2 linked regions of the Lonchura striata genome follow. Each later gene encodes a partner of the first gene's protein in a complex. Links are inferred from orthologs where the notes say so. Each region holds a gene or a part of one and is shown on either strand. Other genes may lie near its edges. The genes, in order: RIPK2 and NGFR.

Region 1 (7,499 bases):
ATGAGGATAGTTGGATCATGAAACATAATTCAGCAAAAAAAGCTTTTAGATCTTAGTGGAGATTGGTACAAGTACATGACTAGGATATTCAAATACAGGACATTTACAGCACATTGATCCTTTGGATGTGAGCCAGTCTGACTCAGAAGCAATAGGGCTGTGCTGGGGCCAGGGCTATGCCCACCATGACTGGTTCAGCACAGCGCTGTGTTATGTGCACAGGGCAGCTCCAGGGTGAGAGCTGGCTTGTGCCCACTGAGCTCAGGGCACACCCCAAAGCACTCAGGGCAGTCTGGATCCAACAAGGTGGTCTTAGCACTCACAAAGAAAAGGCTGTCAGGCTATATGGGAAAAGAGTGAACTAAAGCCTGCAGCTCTTCGCAGCAGGCAATTTTGAATTTAGATGGATATAAAATTAAGGTCCTTTTATCTGTGTGATGGAAAAAGATTTATAGGAAATGACAGAAGTAAAAAGACAGCCTTTGATACAAGCATGGGATGGAAGAGACAACTCTACACCTTCCTCCCTCTCTTCAGAATGAGTAGGTTTGAGAAAGTTTGGGGTTTTCCCAGACAGTAAGGCACATTAGCATGGGATTTAGCTGTAGCTGGGAAACAAATTGCGACATACTGCAGTCTATTCCTGTGCCTGTCAGTCACTTCACCTTTGTCTGCTCCATGCCAGAAGGGCACTGAGTAATACCTAAATGAGCACATTCCCACAACAGCTTCCCAACTGGCTTTGCTCTTTGCCTGGTCACATACCATATTCTGGGATGCACAGCACATGCTTCTCACTTGGGGAATGAATGGCATCAAGAATTCATCCCTATTCCTGACAACACTTACAGGCTGGCATTTCATATTGCCTACTGTACAATCAGCAAAGCACTTGCTGCTGAGACTCGGGTATAATGGATTTTTTTTTGCACCTTTGAGTTTTCTTACAGCATTTCTAGGCTTTGCATGATATATGGTGATGCCTTATTAAGGCTGACCTTAATTAAGCCTACCTAGGCTAGGCAGAGTTAAAGAATAAAGTAAGCATTTATTAGGAGGCCTCAATGGATACACCTTAGGCGGTACAACAACCCAGCCAAGGCTACACCCAAGATGAAGCCAAAATGGTCACAAAACGCACAACCAGTCACGAGGTCTCTCACTTATAAGTTCTGGTCCATTAACATATTGGAGTTAATTGTCCAATTATAGCTTTAGGTTATGAAGTCTGATTCTTCTTGTTTTTCTCCCTTCAATCCATGTTGTTTATACTCTTGGGCCTGAAATTTGGGTGGTTGTCCTTGGTTCCAAGCTAGGAATGGAACTGTTTTGCCTACCTACTCTGTGAAGAGAGCTTACTATCCCTTAATATGAAGCTCAGAAGTACATCCTAAAGCAGTCCAGAATCTGAGAAATATAAAAGCTAAAACCTAAGGCATCATGGTGGGTGACTGAATTATTTGGATTACCTCACTTGCCCTTCTAATCATAATTTCACAGGTTAATATCCCACTAATCCAAATTCTTACAAGTCTAAAAATAGCCTTGGTTGGTTTCTCTCAGCTGTGTTCTGAGGATAAATGCTGTATTTCCAATTAGCTGGGATTTAAGCACACATTAAAAAAAAATCCAAAACAAAAAATCCTCCACAACACCCGCCCGTCCCCTCCCTCCCCCAGCTTATCAAAAAACACAACATAACTGAGATTCCATTTCTGGCTAGATTTCAGTGATAACGCCCGTGTATACACAAACCTGGGCAATAAGAGGTGAAAGAGCTTAAAACAACTTGTCTTATATTTGAGTATATTGAGTCACAAGACTAGAAGCCTTTCTGGGTGAAGCTATCCTACCTAAAGGTCTAGTACTAGATCAAAGAGACCTGAGGCAAAAGCTTGAAGACAGCAAGATAAGACTCATAGGCAGGTTTACAGTCAGGCAGGTTTCAAACAACCTAAGAAGAGACAAGTTTGCATTGATATGTTAACAAATTGGAACTATGGGGATTGAATAAGACAGTGATGAAAAAGTAAAACTTGATGTCGCCTTACATGGAATGATAGCTCCTGTAATAAATATGCTGCCACTTGGGTGCCTGGAAAACAGGGAACCCAATTGTTACACGGAAAATACCAGTTTTACAGGGGAGTCTACAAGCCTATTATTTTAAATCAGCTTCTCTCAGTACTGTGAGATCTGGGGAAAAATAGTAATTTTGCATGGTCTCAGAGAAGCTTCTTCTAGATGCAATCTCTAGTGAATAGAACAGTATACTCCCGATATTCTTTTCTCTATGTAAACACCAAATCTACAGTAATCACTGTAGTTTAATATCCTGCGAATACCTCAGCAAAATGGTTAGCAGCCAACAGACCCAGCAAGAACTAAACTCTGTCAATCCCACCACGAGGCGGGCTCAAGGTTCACAGTGCAGAAGAAAAAAACTCCAAAAGAAACAGCTTAGTGTCTCAGAGACCGAGACCGAAACCACTCTTTTACAATAATCGAAAGAGAGGAAGCTCCAGGGCCGGTCCGCGCTTTCTCTTGGCCCAAGCTGAATCATCCTGGTGGGATCCCCTTTCCCCGCGGAATTAAAGCAAGGCTGGCTACGGAAGCAGCAGGACCTGACCCACAGCCCTCAGGCCGGCGGCCCCGGCCCGTCCCGGGGCTGGGTTAGGGCCGGGCGGGCTCGGGCCGGCCCTGCCCCGTTACCTGTCTAGCAGCGGCCCCTGCAGGCATTTCAGGGCCACCGGGACCCTCCAGTCGGCGTGCCGGGCGGCGGACACGGTCCCGTAAGCGCCCCGGCTGATAAATCGCAAGTCCGGGAGTTTGCTGGAGGGGATGGAGAGGAGGCCGCAGCTGAGGGCGCCCGCCCGGCCCCCACCGCCATCCCCGCCGCTCATGCTCGCACTCCGCCGGGCTCAGCGGGGCCCGGAGCGCCGCTCCTCCGGCCCCGTCCTGCCTTCGCCGCACCTCCCTGCCCCGCCTGCTCTCCAGTTGGCCAGCGCTTCTCTCCTCTGCCCCACCGACGAGGCACTTCCTCGCGGAAAAAGCGTCCCACGGCTCGCGGGTCGGGGAAGGCGGAGCAGCGGGGTGGGAGGAGCGCGCCGGAGCGCGGCGCTGGCGCGGCCTCGCCCTGCGGGAGCCGCGCACGGAGCGTCCCCCCGACCCCGGGGAGCCGCCGGGGCGCGGGTGGGCTCTGCGCTCGGAAAATGATGCGGGATGCTAGAGCCGAGCGCAGATCGCCGCTGTGAACTGTTCGCTGCATAAAATCACAGATTGATGTGGGTTGGACGGCACCTTAAAGATTATCTAGTCGCAACTCTGCCAGGACAGGACACACCTTCCACTAGACTTCCACAGAGCCCCATCCGGTGTGTACTCATTGCTCAAGAGAAGTGAGAAAAGCTTTGTCTCAGTCGCTTATCTCCTCCGCGCTTGTCCTAGGAAGATTTTTCAGGATAACAGTATTTCAAAAAGATCGTTTCGCAATTTCCAGTAAGTGCAAGTTCACCCTTGCCAATAGTAATAGAGAGCTGCCTGATACACGGATGTATTTATGAGAGCTTTAAGGTTGCTCAGTAAGCTTTTGTAATGCCTGTTCACCAAGCCAAGTTTTCACAGACTAGCAAAGTAATTTAACTTAAAGGTATAGATTTGTAGCTTTCCACAAGGAGTGACAGTTCCACAGGATGAAATAAATGTAAATAGAACAACTCGCCTTTCCATGTGTGTGGATGATGGGCTAAACGCCTGTGGCTTTTCACCTCTCTTTTCTCCCACTCATGGATATGGACCAGAGAATGAGGGAAAATACCTATGTTTTCAAGCTATAATATGTCCAATATTTCACAGCATTCATTTTAAGACATGGCAACAACTTTTCAGTCCTGTCTAGGTCCTAGCACTTTACCTTTATGACTTTTACAATTTTCTTGTATTTTGGATGATTTGTATCCTCCAAATGCTTCAGCATTATGAATCATGTAAAGCAATCAGTGACTTACTCTACTTTCAGTTTTCATTTAGTCCATGTCCTATAGACACACTAGGTGGTTTCCCAAAACTGTACTCTTGCGGCAATGTTTCCAATATACAAGTTTTGGGTATCTGTTTATGCATATCCCTCTCTATATTAACCATTAGTACCATTAGTCATACAATTCTAAATTTGGTGTATAAGGAAGATTTTGTTTCCAAAAGAAAATTATATGCCAAGTACAATTACCATGAGCTTGCATTATAAAACCACTGTGTAAATACATACTTACAGTCTTTGCCAATAAAATGTCCCTATACTTTAGATTTATTTGTGCATCTTGTTACTGTGTGCTGTGTTGATTTAATGTACATTTATAGTGTTAAGTACACTGACTTAAACCCCAGGAAAATTATTGTAATTCTAAAAGTGGATGTGGAGGCAGCACTGTTGGAGCAGTGCCATGCTTCTCTTGTCATGCCTATTCCAGCTACACTTTTCCTGGAGCTGTAGTCCTTGTGACACCCCAAACCCTAACCCCAACCCTAATGGCAGCTTGGGGGCGAGGCTGAGGTCCTAAGGTAGATTAAACTTTTGAAAAAACTAAAGTTTTTGTTAAATACTGTTTCTAAATTATAGATACAGTATTTATAGCATGTGGCAGATAAATAGCTGCCTGTGGCTTATTTCTTTGAAATTTAAACTTGTGAGATTTCCCACATAGTCCTTTTCATTTTTAAGTGTTGGATCTGATTTGTCCTTTCACATGGAAATTTCCTGAATATCCCCACTGATAATGAAGTAAGCAAAGTCCACAGCAAAGAGGATACTTTTTCTGTATATGGTATTCATAGTGGTTTGATTAGTGTTATCATAACTGTAATTTGCTTGAATTTAAACTGGAAAAAAATGGTTCTGAAAGGGTGAAAGCTATGGTGAGGGGCTTAGTCTTCCTTCAGCTTGTGAAATCTAGGAGGGCAGCTAGTTACTATGTGATCAATACATCGTGATGCTGACTTGTAAAACACTTTCCATTCTTTGTATCTCTGCAAAAGATCAAGTAAAATAACAGCTGAAATTAAACAGACTTTCCAGACTGAGGTGATATTTGCTTTTTGACATTCTTCCCTGTGAGCAGCTTAGTCTGGAAAGAGCTTTCACATTTCTACTCTAAACAGGTATTCACACTGATGTTGAGGAGAGGGTATAAAATACATATCTCTCCCTGTGCATCTCCACCTGAAAACCAGGCCTCTTATACATAGATACACATGCATCCTTTTATAGTCATGTGTATGTTTTTAAAAATTCACACTACCTGCATGTAAAAGACTTTTTTTTTCCAGTTTGTTACAATCTTGTTCCTCCACCAAAAAATTATAGTGCCTTCATTTTTATGGATATTTTATGGATAAGCACCACATCTAGTTGTGGTTTTTTTGCAATTCACCAGATTGACTGTGTTTCCATAATGGCAAGAATCTCTTTGTTGTCGAGATAAGATGTTCAGATTGAAAGAAGCTATGGTTGTATGATGATGATTTTATACCTCAAACAACCTTATTATATTTTTGCTGTTCGACTTAAACATGACAGACAGACCCTGTTACCTACTAAATAGTCTGAAAAATATGGGTGCATAAAAGACCCTGTTTTAGAAAATGAGTTTTCATTCAGTAATCACAATGCCTTTGTCCCTGCTTTTTATTTTGTGGATTTTTCAAATTTTACATAAAAATGGAGTTTTGGTTATAATAACATTTTTAAAAGGAATATTTTGCCTGAATATTTTGTACTATCCACATTGCAGGAATGAAGGACTTTGGTAGTAACCTCTTCAGTTGTGTTTGGTCTTGCTGAAGCAAGTATTTTTTTTTCTGAAATAATGCACGAGGTGGTTAGATTCTGGCTGAGATCCTGTTTTGCTTGCTGTCACGCTAGCAATGTAATGATACACTTGCTCAGATCTATTAGTAATGAGTACCACAACCATGGAAACCATCAGCCTTTGAAATCCTCTGTGTATTCTCCTGCCAGCCTCAACCAACCCTTCTTTATCAGCATGTGCCACACTCTAGGTGGGCTGTTCCTGAGCATCTGAGCTCTTTTGGAAGTTGTTGCCTATGGTTTTAGATGTCTGTTGACACAATTTTATATTAAGAGAGCTGCATGAAAGTACTTGTATCCAGCTATTACAACATGTTGACACTACCCATCTGACTGAATCGAGGAGCAGAGCTGCTGAGAACTTTTCTGGCAGTTTGGAGGGAAGGAGGGAGGGAGGGAGTGCTTGGGTTTTGATGCTTCTGAGTCACCTGGATTTTTATTTCTATGTTGTGCTAATGTTGGTGGCCATGTGGTGATGACACATCATGAGTGTAATACCAGGATAAACTCTAGTGCTCTTTTCAGGCCTAGCAGTTTGACAAAGCCACCTCACACTTGAACCATTTCAATGTTTATTTGCTATTTTCACTGAGCTTCCTCTTTTCTCCACTTGCTTGTGAGACCTGAGCAACTTTATGAAGATGGTTCTCATCTTAGCCTCCAGTGAAGCTTTCAGTGTGGAAGTGGCAGAGGCAAAAGTTTGACAGAGGAGGAAAGAAAAGAGGGGATGATTTTGAAAGATTCTCCTTAGACAAAATAACACTGTGGTACTCTTCTGTACCTTTCTTAGCATGTGGATTCTCAGGGGCCAGGTCCATCCTAGGTGCTGAATCCAATAAAAATGTGTTTGATCATTTTTTAGAAACAAGGATGACTAGCATGGGATGACTGTCATCCATCTGAAACAGAATCTGCATCAGAAATGCCTGTTAAGAGTAGTTCCTAGCTCTAATTCCTTAACCACAGAGATTATTGGGAGAGCAGTATTTCTCAGGAGCCAAAAAGGATTATTCTAATAGAATTCTTACAGAATTATCTCCTGTTGGAAGATGACTGCCAGGTCTAGGAGGATTCCGTGACACCTCCAACTTTACAGGCATGGGTAGTATTAGGTGTTCAGTGGTCTGCTGCATTCAGGATTAGTCTACATGCATTTTTTATGCTGGGTATTTCCTCAAAATACTTCAGCATCCCCATTCCCCGTACTCCTAGGTTTTAACATTTATTTTGATTTTCAGTCTAAAATGCTGCTGTTCTTGGTGTTTCCCATAAAATTAGTTCAGCTGAAAGCTGAAAAAATTTCTTTCAGCAGTGAATTAGAACAAGTTTTTTCTCCCCCTTTTATTTTCTCTTTCAAAATTTAAACTATTAAACAAGTGCAGCAGATTTGATGCAAAGCCAACAGGTCAGGAGAGGGGAGGGAGGACAGCAAGATGATCAGAAGGATGGAGCATCTCTCACACAAGGAAAGGTGAGGGAATTGGGTTTGTTTATCCTGGAAAAGAGAAGGCTTTTTTGCTATTTGCAGCCTTCCAGTGCCTGAAAGGACTGTACAAGAAAAATGGAGAGGAACTTTTTATAAAAGCATGTAGTTACAGGGGAAATAAAATCAAATTGAAGGAGAGTAGGCTTA
Region 2 (8,208 bases), on another chromosome or scaffold:
CGGCCGCTTTCCCCGTGGCTGTCACGTCCCGGCCCTCATTAAATCCCTGCTACAATCGGATAAAATCGCTTTTACCCAATTTCCTCCTGGCTGTTTGCTGGCTCGGAGAATTCCAGCGGGGCCGAGACAGCGCTGCCCGTCCCAATGCGATTATCCCGGCCCGATCGATCGATCCCGGCTGCCCGGCCCTTGGCAAACTCGCGCCCGGCTCCCGGAGCGGCCGAACCCTCCCCGGGCTCCTCCCTGCACCGATCCCCACCGGGAACCCGGGAATGAAAATAAAACCAGCAGCGGGAATGAAAATAAAACCAGCAGCGGGGTCATTGAGCTGGGCAGGGAGCGGCCCCAGGATCCCTCTGGATGTGCCGGGACACGGGGCCGGGGCCGGGCTCCGCTCCCGCAGGTGCTCGCGGCTCATTTGCATAAGGGATGAAGGCAGCAATTAAATTCCCTCATCATCTCGGCGGGCTGGGAAAAGAGCTCCCCCCGCTCCTGCGTCTGTCACTGCTGGGAAGAGGCTCTGGAGAGGCGAAATTCCCACCCGGAGGTGAAATTCCCACCCGGAGGTGAAATTCCCACCCGGAGGTGAAAATCCCACCCCCGCTTCCACAGGGGAAACTGAGGCACTGCTGAGCGGGCAGGCAATGGAGAACATCCCGGCCTGGAGTGGGCTGGGAGGAGCCCAAAAATCCACTGGATCTCCTCCGGGCTGCACAGTGGGATTAGAGGGTTGTTTTAGGGCCCTTCCAGTGGTAATATTCTATTCTATTCTATTCTATTCTATTCTATTCTATTCTATTCTATTCTATTCTATTCTATTCATCTCTATTCATCTCTATTCATCTCTATTCATCTCTATTCTATTCATCTCTATTCTATTTACCTCTATTTTATTTCTAGTTCATGTCTATTTTATTTCTATTTTTTCTATATTTTTTCTCTTTTTTCCTATTTTATTTCTAATTTATTTCTATTTCATCTTTATTTCATCTCTATTCCGTTCTACTCATCCCTCTTCCATTCTACCTTTATCTCCTTCTACTCCAGCCGAGCACCGAGTCAATTAAAACAAATCCCCACCCCCAAACGAAAACCAAACGCAGCGAAAAGCGCAGCCCTGAGCCGAGGAAGATAAAAAATCTCTCGGCCGGCTCGTCCCCGCTGACACTCCGCTGCCGGCAGCGGAATTCCCGATCCATCAGCACCAACCCCGGGATCAATGGGCCCCAAAGCCGGCCCGGGGAGGAGGAGCGGCCCCGGCGCGGGGGGATCGATCGATCATCGATATCGCCGCTGCCGCTGCCGGGCGTGGCCCGTGCCTCCTCCTGCCCGTCCCCCGCCGCCGGGATTTTCTCCCCGGGGCTGCCCGGGCCCCGCTTTCTCTCCGGGCTTTGTTTTTGCCAGCCCGGCTCGGCTTTCCCGGCCGCTCCTCCAGGCCGGCCTTATAAGGGCCCGCGGAGCAGGGAGAGATTCATGCCCAGTCCCCCCTGCTGCCGGCAGGGTGATGGATCGCGCTGCGAAACACGGGAAGAAAGGGAAAAAGGGAAGGGGGGAGGCCGGGAGCTGCCGGAGCGGGGCAGGGACGGGGATGGAGGCAGGAACCGCCGGCCTGGAAAGCGGGAGACAATCCCAAAGGAGAGCGGGACCCCCGAGGGCACGGGAGCCGCGTTTGGGGGGCTTGGGGAGCGCTGGGGAGCTCGGGGCTTTGGGGTGACACCCCCATCCCTGTGGGAATGACAGCCCCGTTTCCATGGGAAAAATAGTCCCATTTCCATGGAATAACTGACCCCATCCCTGTGGGAATGACAGCCCCATTTCCATGGGAATAACAGCCCCATTTCCATGGAATAACTGACCCCATCCCTGTGGGAATGACAGACCCATTTCCATGGAATAACTGACCCCATCCCTGTGGGAATAACAGCCCCATTTCCATGGGATTACTGACCCCATCCCTGTGGGACTAACAGCCCCATTTCCATGGGAATAACCGACCCCATCCTATAGGAATAACAGCCCCATTTCCATGGAATAACTCACCCCATCCCTGTGGGAATAACAGCCCCATTTCTATGGGAAAAACAGCCCCATTTCCATGGAATAACTGACCCCATTGCTGTAGGAATGACAGCCCCATTTCCATGGGAATAACAGCCCCATTTCCATGGAATAACTGACCCCATCCTATAGGAATAACAGCCCCATTTCCATGGGATTACTGACCCTATGGGGAATAACAGCCCCATTTCCATGGGAATAACTCACCCCATCCTATAGGAATAACAGCCCCATTTCCAGGGAATAACTGGGCCCCACTTCCATGAAAAACTGGGCCCCATTTCCATGGAATAACTGGCCCCGTTCCTACAGGAATAACTTCCGAGCTGTGTTATTAATTCATCCTCATTTCTGTCTCGCCCTCACCGCAGAATCGGCTGTGTCGGGAAGGGAATTTCACCCGGTTTGGAGTAAAAGCCGTAAAACCTCCGCAGGCCCCGAGTGTTTAAGCCGGGCTCGCTCTGGGGGCTCTTTCGGAGCCCCCCGGCGTGGAGGGAGAGGGGAAACATCCCCTGGAGCCCCCCGGGCGATCTGGAGGAGCCCGAAGGGAGATAACGAGGGGGTGAAAGCGCTGCGGGGCCGGGAGGGGCTGCACGCGATGTTTCACCCAGTTCTAATTGCCCTTTCGCTAATTAATCCCGCCCTTTCCGCGCTCCCTCCAGCATGGGAGCCTCTGCATGCGTGACCCCGTCAGCCTGAGGGGAGCTCGGGAGCCGCCGGGGAAATCCTGTAAAATCCATGGAAGGATTTTTTTGTGATTAAAAGCGGGGCCGAGCCCTCCCTGAGCTGCTCCCAGTGCACAGACCCAGCCCTGGCACCGCCCCGCCGTGCCCTGCTGGCACCGGGAGCCGATTTTGGGTCCCCCCCGATGGCCACGAGGCTTTTGGGGACAGTGATCAGCCCCACCCCAGAGCCAGTGGCAGGTGGGTGGATTTTGGGGCGGCTTTAGGGGTTGCAAGAGTTCAATTTCCCCCCCCACAAAAAAACCCCGGAGCCTTTGGGTTTAATTCCAGGAGGTGACACCAGAACTTCGGGAGGTTCTTTGTCACTCACGGAGCCGGGAAAGCGCCACAGCTGTTTTGGGGACGGGAAAAAGGAGGCGCGTGTGATCCGGTGAAGAATTCCGCGAGTCCCTTCTCCAGAGGAGCCGCGGGGGCTGGGATGGGAGCGGGAATTTTCCCTCCCAGCCCGGCGCAGATGGAGCCCGGCTGGGCGGGACGGGCTCTGCCAGGGCTGCGGCTTTTCCCGGGATGCTCCCCAGACTCCCACCGGGACACGGCGGCGGCGGGGACGGGGCTCGGGGACCGCGGGCCACGAGCTCGGTGTCCCCGGCACGGGCAGGACGAGGAGGAGGAGGAGGGGGAGGAGGGATTTATCCAAGGGCCCGAGGAGAACATCTGGATTTGCCACTTGCTGCGGTGAATTAATTGCGGGATCCCGCGGCTGCTCCCTGCTGTGCCAGCCCTGCCTCGCGTCTGCTCCCGGGAATGTCCCCAAGGGTGGTGTCCCTTTGTCCCCTGCAGCCGGGGGAAGCTCGGTCACCCCTTCCCATTCCACTGGGGCTGCGGTGTCATCGGTGATCCCAGAAAAAACCCTTAAAACGCTGGGATTATGGCTGGCATCCCAATCCTGGGTGGGCATCCCAATCTTGGGTGGGCATCCCAGCCCCCGGGTGGGCATCCCAGCCCCCGGGCACCTCCCAGCCCGTTCCCACCTGGCCCCAGCGTGGCTTTTTTGGCTGCGAACGCTTCTCCATGTGGCTCGCAGATGTTCTGCCCGTGACGAGAACAAACGGCAGCTTTGGCTCGGCTTTAATCCCACGGAAAAGCTGCGAGAGAGGGAATTCCGTGAAGCCCTTCCCGGGCTGAGCCAGCGGCAGCAGCCGGCCCTGAGCACCTCGGAGGCTCCAGAATTGGCTTTTCCAGAGGAAATCCAGCGGAGTGGCGCTTTCCCACCGTGACCCGCGGGATTTCGGGGCTCCGGTGGCTGCAGGGCTGGGAACTGCTGGATTTTGGGAGCCCCAAAAGCACCTGCAGAGCCCGGAGCGGGGAGGAAACACCTGGAGCTGGACGCACACGAGGCCAAATCCGCTGTGCCGTGGCCACCGCGGCCGCAGGAGCCAGCCCGGGGCAGCGACAGCGAGGCGGGGCCGCTCCCGGTGGCACCGGTGCCCGGTGCCGCGGTTGGGTGGCCCCGCGGAGCCGTGCCCGGGGCTGACGCAGCGCTGCGGGGTGGGGAAGGAGCCCTGGCATTGCCAGCTGCGGGCACTGCGGGCCCGGCGAGGGCAGGAGGCCAGGCAGAGTCACCCTGGGGCGCCGGGACAAAGGAGGGCGGCACGCGGGGACCTTGCAGGGCCCACGGGGAGCCCAGATGGGATTTCTTTGTGTGGAGGGCAGAAATACAAAGATTTGATTCAGTCCCCGCCGCGTGCCCCCCTCGGGGGCCTCTGGGTGACACCGCCCGGCTGGGACGGGCCCGGGGTGTCCCCGGGCCGGGGATTTTGTCCCTTGTCCCCAGCAGCCGGGGCAGGTCTGGTCACCCCATCCCGCCCCTGGGGCCGCGATGGCAGCGGTGACGCCACCCCGGGGCCGGGGACAGACAGACGGACCGGGGGAGGAGGGGGTGCCGAGGGGGCTGGAGGACGGGCAGACGGCACAGGAGGCAAAGCCGTGGATGGGCTGAAGAGCCCCGGCTGGGCTGGGAGCGAGCGCGCCCCAGAAACGCTTCGTGGGCGGGCGGCGGGGCCCGGGGGGCCCGGGGGGACCGGGGGGGCCCGGGGGAACCGGGCTTTGTGTGGCGGCGGCGGAGGGTGCGGGCTCGGCCGCTCCGTGATGCTCCGGGGGCGGGGAGGAGGAGGAGGAGGAGGGGGAGGAGGAGGAGGGACTTGCAGCTCTTTTCTGGCCGCCGCCGCGGCGGAGAGCGGCAGAGCCAGGGCAGCCCGGCCGCGCTCCGGCTTCCGGGGCTGTCACCGGCCCCGCTCCGCTGCCCCCGCCATGGCCGGGCTCCTGCCGCTGCTGCTGCTCCTGCTGCCGGCGGTGAGTGCGGGGAGCGGCGCCCGGGGCAGCCCCGACAGCCCCGGCGGGGAGGGGATGCGGCGTCCCGGGGGCACCGGGAGCGTCCCCGGAGGCACCGGGGGATGGACAGCCCCGAGGCACCGGGCGGGGGTGGGATGGAGGGGCCCGGAGGCTTCACACGGGGGTGTCCGGAGGGTCCCGGGGACCCCGGGGTGGGAGCCCCGCGGGTGAGGGGCAGCGGACAGCACAGGCAGGAGCGGGGTCCCCGCCGTGCGGGGCTGGAGGATCCCGGGGGCACCGGAGAGCCCCGGGGAGGCGAGCAGAGCTCTTTGGGGTGCGGTGGGAGGGGGCGTGGGGAGCTGGGTGGGGATGGGGTCCCGCAGCCCCTCCGGTGCCGCTGCCCCGAGCTCTGCCACTGCAAAGAGTGACGGAGCCCCAGCCCGGGGGGAGCCCCCCCAGTGCCTTCATCACCTGCCCCGCACGCACCCCCCGCAACCTCTCGCAGACTTTCCCGGCTCCCAGGTGCCCCACAGCTGAGGCTGAGAGCCTTTTCCTCCCGGCAGAGCCCTCGCCGTGTGCCCCAGACAAAAAACTTCAGGGCAGGCTGGGGTGGGGGGGCCAGCAGAGAGGGGAGTGCCCGGAGTGGGGCCGGGGGGCTCCGAGCCCGCAGCTGGGGCAGGAGCGGGGCTGTTTGGGGGGCAGGATTTGCCGGGGGTCCCAGGGGGGCCGTCAGGCAGCCGGACACCCCTCGGGCAGGATATTAAAGGCGGAGTTGAGCGGCTCCGTGCAGGAGCGGAGCGGGGCTGGCAGCGCCGTGCCGGGGGGTCCTTTCCCCCACAGCCCCCCGGGATCGGGATCGGGATGGCCAAAGCGCCCCGGGATAGCGGGACAGCGGCCGGGGGGGCCCGGAGCTGTCCCAGCCAGATGGATCCCAACCATTCCCCCCCCAGGGCATCGCCCTCTCGCCCCTCCCCGGCTGCTGCAGCGGGGCCGGGCTCTGATGTCCCCAAATCGCCGCTTCCCTGCGCCGGGGTCACCGCGGGGAGCTGCTTCTGCCCTCCGGGACCGCACCTGCGGGGCTGGGAGTGTTCCTGGGGGGGGACAACAGGGACCCCGGCTGTGCTCCCCCAGCTCCGCGCACCCCGGGACCCCGCAGCCCGGGACCCCCGCAGCCCGGGACCCCGCACACCGGGACCCCCGCAGCCCGGGACCCCCGCAGCCCCCGCAGCCCGGGACCCCCGCAGCCCCCGCAGCCCGGGACCCCGCACCCCGGGACCCCCGCAGCCCCCGCAGCCCGGGACCCCCGCAGCCCCCGCAGCCCGGGACCCCGCAGCCCCCGCAGCCCGGGACCCCCGCAGCCCGGGATCCCCGCAGCCCGGGATCCCCGCAGCCCGGGACCCCCGCAGCCCCCGCAGCCCGGGACCCCGCAGCCCGGCCCGCCGCGCTCGCCGCTCGGTGCCTGCGCTGCTCGGCCCGGGAGCGGCGGAGCCTCCCAGGGCCGGCCGGAGCCGCAGCGCTCGGACGCGGCTCCCCGAGCTGCCCAAAGTTCGGGAGGCGCCGGGAGCCGGGATTTGGCCTCTCCCAGACGCGGTGCTCGGCCAAGAGAGGCAGAGCGCGCCCGCCGGGCTCGCGTCTCGCAGCCGGGCTCGTCTCCAGCTGGAGCATCCCCTCCTGGTGCCGGGCGCTCCGCGGTGCCAGACTCCGAAATCCCGCTCGGAGCGGCTCTGTCCTCCCCCGGCAGCGCCTGCCCGGGCTCCGACCCCCCCGGCACGGCTCCAAAAAGCAATTAAGAGCTTCCAGAGGTGTCGCCTGCGCCCTCCGGCCGCGGCCGGGCCGGGCCAGCTGTCAGGATGCTTTACGGCGTTAATAGCCGCGGCTTTGTCACCGGGAGCCGCGCTAACAGCGCGCGTTTCCGCAGCCTAACGCGGGCCAGGTGCCGTGCCCGGCCGGGGGGCTCGGGAAAGCCCCGGAGCGAGGGGCCCGCGGCACCTGGAGCCGGGAATTGGGAGCGCTCGGGGCGCGGGGGCGGGAGGGGACAGGACAGGTGGCCCGGGAGCGGAGCCGGTGGCCCGGCCAGGCCCGGCCCACGCGGGACCGCCCGCAGCTGCCTGCGGCGTGGGGGAGCTGGAATGGGAGACTGGGGAAGGGCTGGGATCGGGGAAGGGCTGGCATCGGGGAAGGGCTGGGATCGGGGAAGGGCTGGGATCGGGGGAAGGGCTGGGATTGGGGAAGGGCTGGGATTGGGGGAAGGTCTGGGATCGGGGAAGGGCTGGGATCGGGGAAGGGCTGGGATCGGGGAAGATCGCGGATCAGGGGAAGGTCTGGGATCGGGGAAGGGCCGGGATTGGGGAAGGGCTGGGATCGGGGAAGGGCTGGGATCGGGGAAGATCTGGGATCGGGGAAGGGCTGGGATCGGGGAAAGATCCGGGATCGGGTAGGGGCTGGGATCGGGGAAGATCTGGGACTGGGGAAGGGCTGGGATCGAGGAAAGATCTGGGATCGGCGAAGGTCTGGGACTGGGGGAAGGTCTGGGATCGGGGAAGGGCTGGGATCGGGGAAGGGCTGGGATCGGGGGAAGATCTGGGATCAGGGGAAGGTCTGGGATTGGGGAAGGTCTGGGACTGGGGGAAGGTCTGGGATTGGGAGAAGGTCTGGGATCGGGGAAGGGCTGGGATCGGGGAAGGTCTGGGATCAGGGAAAGATCTGGGATCAGGGAAAGATCTGGGATCTCTGGATGCTCTGGGATCTTTAGAAGCTTTGAGACTGGAGGAAGATCTGGGATCCCTGGAAGCTCTGGGATCCCTGGAAGCTCTGGGATCCCTGGGATCTCTGGATGCTCTGGGATCTTTGGAAGCTCTGGAATTGTGGGGTGCTCTGCGATCAGGGGATGCTCTGGGATCCCTGGAAGCTCGGGGATCCCTGGAAGCTCAGGGATCACAGGATGCTCTGGGATCTCTGGGATCCTTGGATGCTCTGGGATCCCTGGAAGCTCTGGAAGCTCTGGGATCCCTGGAAGCTCTGGGATCCCTGGAAGCTCTGGAAGCTCTGGGATCCCTGGAAGCTCTGGATGCCCCCGTGTCCATCCCGGTCACTAGTCACAGCCAGGCACGCCCGGCTGCCCCAGCCCCATTCCCAG

What was found.
Region 2: the proteins of RIPK2 (region 1) and NGFR are in contact, whole or in part, in an NMR structure (PDB 2N83), measured with the Homo sapiens proteins. The link is inferred for Lonchura striata from reciprocal best matches to the Homo sapiens genes RIPK2 and NGFR. Residues at the interface, in NP_003812.1 of Homo sapiens: Gln437, Ser465, Arg466, Asp467, Leu468, Met470, Glu472, Asp495, Ile496, Gln497, Gly498, Glu499, Glu500, Lys503, Ile523, Leu524, Val526, Ser527, Arg528, Ser529, Pro530, Ser531, Leu532, Asn533, Leu534, Gln536; in NP_002498.1 of Homo sapiens: Gly334, Leu335, Ser338, Leu339, Pro340, Lys343, Val347, Ser354, Ala355, Asp357, Arg360, His361, Gly364, Glu365, Tyr368, Pro370, Ile373, Asp374, Leu398, Asp399, Leu401, Leu402, Arg406, Arg407, Ile408, Gln409, Arg410, Ala411, Asp412, Val414.

The regions. Positions count from the first base shown.
Region 1 is NC_134603.1:26,087,585-26,095,083, forward strand, and holds the start of RIPK2 (receptor-interacting serine/threonine-protein kinase 2), read right to left. Parts: upstream 3,076-7,499; 5' UTR 2,904-3,075; coding exon 2,713-2,903; intron 1-2,712.
Region 2 is NC_134627.1:7,916,476-7,924,683, reverse strand, and holds the start of NGFR (tumor necrosis factor receptor superfamily member 16), read left to right. Parts: upstream 1-4,995; 5' UTR 4,996-5,051; coding exon 5,052-5,093; intron 5,094-8,208. UniProt on the Homo sapiens protein: Low affinity receptor which can bind to NGF, BDNF, NTF3, and NTF4. Forms a heterodimeric receptor with SORCS2 that binds the precursor forms of NGF, BDNF and NTF3 with high affinity, and has much lower affinity for mature NGF and BDNF.